2 separate regions of the Mus musculus genome follow, and region 2 is reported to be linked to region 1. Evidence: microRNA targets listed by miRTarBase, many of them from high-throughput screens and not tested one by one. Region 1 holds a microRNA gene; the other region holds the end of a gene's coding sequence.

Evidence for each region. The annotated mature microRNA mmu-miR-466f-3p reads CAUACACACACACAUACACAC and lies in region 1 at 1,528-1,548, shown strand. An mRNA with a match to its seed (bases 2 to 7 or 8) in the 3' UTR can be bound and repressed. Matches are read on the target gene's strand: a 7mer-m8 pairs with bases 2 to 8, a 7mer-A1 pairs with bases 2 to 7 and ends in A, and an 8mer does both.
Region 2: miRTarBase lists Spock2 as a target of mmu-miR-466f-3p. Seed matches in the 3' UTR shown: 7mer-m8 at 2,335-2,341, 7mer-m8 at 2,311-2,317 and 7mer-m8 at 2,273-2,279.

The regions. Positions count from the first base shown.
Region 1 is chr2:10,470,480-10,473,901 of GRCm38, forward strand. Mir466f-3 (microRNA 466f-3) reads left to right here and starts at 1,474; the gene lies at 1,474-1,567. The region is part of intron 10 of Sfmbt2 (Scm-like with four mbt domains 2); the gene reads left to right. It overlaps Mir669d-2 (microRNA 669d-2), which reads left to right and starts at 1,165; the gene lies at 1,165-1,250. Mir297a-2 (microRNA 297a-2) reads left to right here and starts at 1,775; the gene lies at 1,775-1,864. It also overlaps Mir466o.
Region 2 is chr10:60,130,977-60,133,976 of GRCm38, reverse strand. Spock2 (sparc/osteonectin, cwcv and kazal-like domains proteoglycan 2) reads right to left here. Exons shown (of 11, transcript NM_052994.2): 10 at 2,756-2,893; 11 at 63-2,641. The coding sequence ends at 2,496. Among named protein-coding and RNA genes, the nearest start is that of Mir6906, 5.7 kb to the right of the region's middle.

The sequences.
Region 1 (3,422 bases):
GGGATGTTTCTTATGTATGTGCATGTGTGCATATATGTATGTGTGCATGTTAATATATGCATATAAATATACACATATAAACTAACCAACACAACATGCACACACACAGAGACACACACAAATACACACACACACACACAAACTCAAAATTGATACTCATCTATCCATTTGAATGATATGTAACTTAATGTTTTAGAGCTATGTATAAATGGGTCAAGGAGAAGTCTCACTCACTAGGTGAAACACTTGCCAGAGTCAGGAGGATCAGGAGTTCAAATTCATGCTTAATTTCACAACGATTTAGAGATCAGTATGCAATTGATGTGATGCACACCAAGAATGTGCATGTGTTAGAGTTGTGTGCATATTCACTTCTCTATATGAATATGCATATACACACATGCACACACAGTAATGCCACTCATATATCCTTTGAAATGATATGTGCCATAGAGCTTTAGCGCTTATGCGGTAGTGATCCAGAGCTATGTCTCAGTTAGGAGGTGAAACGCTTGCCAGAGTCTGGAGGATCTGGAGTTCAAATTCATGTTTAACTTCATGATGAGTTAGAGTTCATCATGCGATTCATGTGATGCCCAACAAGAATGTGCATGTGTGTATAGCTGTGTGCATATTCACTTCTCTATATGAATATGCACATACACGCAAGCACACACAGGAATGGCACTCATATATCCTTTTGAATGGTATGTGACTTAGAACTTTAGAGCTTATGCAGTACTGATCAAGAGCTATGTCTCAGTTAGGAGGTTAAGTACTCTTGCCAGAGTCAGGAGGATGAGGAGTTCAAATTCATATTAAATTCATGATGAGGTAGCAATCAGTCTGGGATTCATGTGATGTCCCCCGTTTATGTGCATGTGTGCAGAAGTGTATGCATGTACATGTGTTTATGTGAATATACATATACATACACACATATACACACACATGCAAACATACATGTAGGAATGGTACTCATCGATGCATTTTAATGATATGTGACTTAGACCTTTGGAGATTATGTATGACAGGGCCAGTGTCAATTCTCACACACCTGGTGAAAACCCTTGTTAGAGTCAGGAGGTATAGGAGTTGAAAATCATGCTTAACTTCATGAGGAGTAAGAGATCATCCTGGATTCATGTGATGCCCCCTATATATGTGCATGTGTGTATACTTGTGTGTGCATGTATATGTGTCTATATGAATATACATATACATACACACCCATATACACACGCATGCACGGAAACACAAAAACATAAACATAAACACAGGAATGGCACTCATTGATCCATTTGAATGATATGTGACTTAGAGTCTTATAGATTATGCAGTAGTGTGTCAATGAACGGTCTCACTCACCAGGTGAAAGTTGTTGACAGAGTCAGGAGGATCAGGAGTTCATATTCATGCTCAATTTCAGTTAGTGATCATCCAGACATTCATGTTATGCCCCTCATGTATGTGCATGTGTGTTTACGTGTGTGTGCATGTGCATGTGTGTATATGAATATATGTATACATACACACACACATACACACGCACGCAACACACACACACACACACACACACGACACTCATTTATTCATTTGAATGATATGTGACTTAGAGTTTTAGAGATTATGTAGTACTGGGCCAGTGAGTGCTCTCACTCACAAGGTGGAAATCTTGCCAGAGTCAGGAGGATCAGGAGTCGAAATTCATTCTCAACTTCATGTTGAGTCCGGGATCAGCTTCTGATTCATGTGATGCCCCCAGTGTATGTGCCTGTGTGTATATGTATGTGTGCATGTGCATGTGTGTATATGAGTATACATATACATACGCACATACCCATACAAGCATGCACACAAACCCAAAACTGCCACTCATCGATCTATTTGAATGATATGTGTCTTAGAGTCTTAGAGATTCTGTATGACTGGGCCAGGGAGAGGATTCACTCACCAAGTAAAGACCCTTGCCAGAGTCAAGATAATCAGGAGTTCAAGGTCATGGTAAAGGCATGATGAGTTAGAGGTCATCCTGGCATTCATGTGATTGCCCCTATGTATGTGTGTATGTGTTGATGTGTGTGTACATGTACATGTGTGAATATGATATACATACATGCACACATAAGACACATATGAGCACATAGACACACAGGAATGGCACTCACTCATCAATCTATGTGACTGAGAGCTTTGGAGATTATGTGTGACTAGGTCAGGGAGAGTTATCACCCATCATATTAAAAATGCTTGTTAGAATCAGGAGGTCAGGAGGTCAAATTCATGCTTTATTTCATGATGACTTAGAAATCTGCCTGGGATTCATGTGATGCCCCCATGTATGTGTACATGCGTGTACCTGTGTGTGGATTGTGTATATGAATATACATATCTACACACGCATAGACATGTACACAGACACACAAACATGAATGCAACTCATCGATCCATTTGAATGACGTGTGACTAAGAGTTTTAAGATTCTGCAGTACTGAATAGGGAGAGGTCTCACTCAGCAGGTGAAATCCCTTGCCAGAGTCAGGTGGTCCTGGAGTACAAATTCATGTTTAACTTCATGATGAGTTAGAGTTCAGCATGCGACTCATGTGATGTCCATCAAGAATGTGCATGTGTGTATAGTTGTGTGCATATTCACTTCTCTATATGAATATGCATATACACGCATGCACGCACAGGAATGCCACTCATATATCCTTTTGAATGGTATGTGACTTAGAGCTTTAGAGCTTATGCAGTACTGGGCCAGAGCTATGGCTCAGTTAGGAGGTGAGTACTCTTGCCAGAGTCAGGAGGATGAGGAGTTCAAAATCATATTTAATTCATGATGAGTAGAGATCAGCATGCGATTCATGTGATGCCCTCCAAGAATGTGCATGTGTGTATAGCTGTGTGCATATTCACTTCTCTACATGAATATGCACATAGCTGTATGCACACATACTCACAGGAATGGCCAGAACTATGTCTCAGTTAGGAGGTGAATATTGTTGCCAGAGGGAGGAGAATATGGAGTTCAAATTCATGTTTAACTTCATGATGAGTTAGAGAACAGCCTGGAATTTCTGTGATTGTCCCCGTGTATGTGTATATGTGTATAGGTACGTGTGCATGTAAATGTGGGTATATGAACATGCATATATATATATATATATATATGTGTATATATATATATATATATACATACATACATACACATATACACACACATATGGACACATACATGTGCACACAAACACACATGGTAGTCATCCATTTGATTTATGCATGCTTAGAGTTTCATTGAGTGTATATTCATGGGATAGCAAAACATCTCACTTACCAGATGAAAACTGCTTGCCAGAGTTAGGAGTCTCAGGAGTGCAAATTCATGCTTAACTTCATGAGCAGTTAGAGATCATCCT
Region 2 (3,000 bases), not on the chromosome of region 1:
GCGTTTTAGAGAGGGACAAACTTCTGGACCCCTGGGGCCTGCCACAGTTCCACGCCTTCTGCTTTCTTACTAAAACATGTTTACTACATCAGATACAAAACCAGAAGATCCAGGGACACACAGAGCATAGCTCCCCAGCGGGGCAGGGCGGGGCAGGGTGAAAGAAGGGGATGCGTCTTCCTCTACACCACCCCCTCCCCACCCCAGAGAGCCTAAAATCCTTCACAGCTACCCGGGGATGTTCTGGAAATCCAGCTGGGGCAGAGAAAGAATCAGACTCCATCCTAGCGAGAGCAGGAAGTTTCAAGTAACTCCAGCTGGAGGGAGGAGGAAGGGGAGGAGGGGGAGGAGAGAGGGGGGCGGGATGGCTGCTTCTAGAATGCAGAGGGCTGATGTGACTGAGCCAGGGACCAGAGGATGGTTGCAGAGGTCTGAGGAAGGGAGGGAGGAAGAAGAGGATGGGAGCAGGTGACAGTCACCCGGAGAGTCAGAACTGTGTCGTGGAATGAGAAGCACTTTATGGAGCTTGGTGACATTTCCGTATTCCCCCCGAGGAGATGACGATTAAGGTGGCCATTCCAGGGTGGCAGAAAGGAATGGGAAGGAGGAGGCTCTTCCCTAAAGTCCAACCGATCAATACTCAGTGGATGTGACCAGCCAGTGCCCCTGAGAGGCTGGGGGAGAGCCAGACTGGGGCTTTGTCCTGGAAGCCTCAGCACAAGGTCCCCAGTAGCTAGCTGCCCAGCCTCTTCCACCACACAGGGGGCTGCCCTCACTCTTCCTGGGCATCAGGGTGGCCCTCGGGTATTCTCTCTCTCATTCTCTCTCATTCTCTCTCTCTTTCTCTCTCTCTCTCTCTCTCTCTCTCTCTCTCTCTCTCACACACACACACACACACACACACACACACACACACACACACGTATACGCGCCACACACACGTACGCGTACCAAAGGGTATCAGAGGCCCAGGTAAGGAATTCTTCATCAAATATATCAAGGAAATTTCCTTTGAGAGGGGGAAGTGGGGAGCAATAGACACACAAAACCCCACAGGACATCTGGGTAAAAGCCCCTTCCACCCGGCCTGGAGGTCTGAGGGCGTGCTGAGGCATGGCATCAGGGCCTAGCTGCTCAGTGTGGTCCCCTCTGATAGATACACCGTTCTCTATTCATATATGCTATAGGGCTTTAAATAGAGTCTGGGGCATGGTTCTTCTAGGGCCATCTTGGGGACCCTTGAGACAGAGGAAAGTCATGGCTGAGAGGACTAAGGCTTTGGGGCCTCTCCTCCAGGACCTTCTGGGCACAGGAAGTCACAGCTCCCCGTGGTTCCTCACAAGGGTCTCGGGGACACGCCCTTCTATTGGTCGGGGCAAGAGGGAACCATTTCCTAGAGGGTCAGGGAGAAGGTGAGCAGACACGGGCTGCTTGCTGGTCCTCTGCTCCTTGGGACAAGGGGGACCCTCGCCAGGGAACAGAGAGTGCAACTGCAAGCCCTCATAGCAGGCTACTCCAAATCTCAGCTATATGATGACAGTCCCCATTCGCCAAGAAAGCAGCCCAGAGCCCCATGAGGCCACAGGTGCTGACTGGGTTAATCTGAGGCCTGAAATCAAGGGACCCATTGTCCTCTGTCTCATGATTTCTGCCTCTTCTGCTGAGCTATCTCTGGTTACTCGGGACTAGGTTGAGAGATAATCTATCAGGGATGTCCATGCTTTTGACATTGTGACAGAGGATTAACTCCTCAATCCAATTATCAACAAACAAACTAACAAAAAACAAACAGCAACAAAACCCCTGTGTTTTAAGTAAGTTTACCTCTTTGTGTTGGGCCACAGAGACAGCTATGCTTAACCACGTGCAGCCCAAGGGCCATTAGACACACCTGCGACGAGCTCTTCGGATGTCAGGAGACGGATAGTAAGCCTTGCTGTGTGTACAGGTCCTGCCTCATCACCACAAGACCGTGGTGGGGCTTTCATATCAAATCAGCCCAATTTGGGGAGGACGCTCAGCTTTCAGCTGCCTGCCCTCCCTCCCTCTCCCTGGCCTCAGAAGAGGAAGGAAGAAAGGCAGGATGGGGTAGGGCTGATTAGGCAGGGCAGGGATTCCAGGTGTTGGGCTGAGGGGCAGGATCAGGGACATCTCATTGATTTTGGTCTGTTAGTGTATCCTTGTGTGTGAAAGTGTGCATTTGAAAATCAATAACATAGGGACCTTTGGGTGACTCACATCACACACACACACACACACACACACATCTCACATACACACATCTCACATCACACACTCACATCTCACATCATACACACACATCTCATATCACACATACACACAAGCCACACTCCCCAGTCCTCCCCCACTGGAGCCAGGGTCCTCCGCACTGACTTCCGGATCCATTTGCTAAGTTGCCTGCTGTTGTCCAGGTCTCTTCTGGCCTGTCTTTCTGGCCGTCGGCACCCTGGCCTGCCGAGGCCGTCGAGGGCTATCTACCAGATGTAGCCTCCATCATCTGCCTCACCCGCCTCACCCTCCTCCTCCTCGGCCTCCTCCCCTGCCTCTTCTGTCTCCTTTTCTTCCTCATCCTCCCAGCCAACGCCGCTTCCAAAGTCCCCGGAGAAACCCACGATGTCATCTGTTGGGAAAGCACACGAAAGGCCGGTAAGGAACCCACACACTGTGTCTACTTTCTGAGCCTGGAGTCCTGCCCCACGTACGCCACCCTGAGAACTAGCCGCATGCTCCTTACCACAGTCAGGGGTCCCATGCATGCGTGTGCCGGTCAGCTCCAGGCCCAGCTGGTCCACACACCAGCAGTCACCTCTGCTCTGGTCACACTGCATCTTCCGGTAGTAGCCATCTTCATCACAGCTCGGGATGAAGACACCTGAGGGTTAGGGCAAAGAGCCCGTAGTGTGGGCTCTGGAGTCGTGTGCGAGCAGGGGCCTCGATGGCCTGAGAACCTGGCCAGCTTGGTACTGATACCCACCCCCT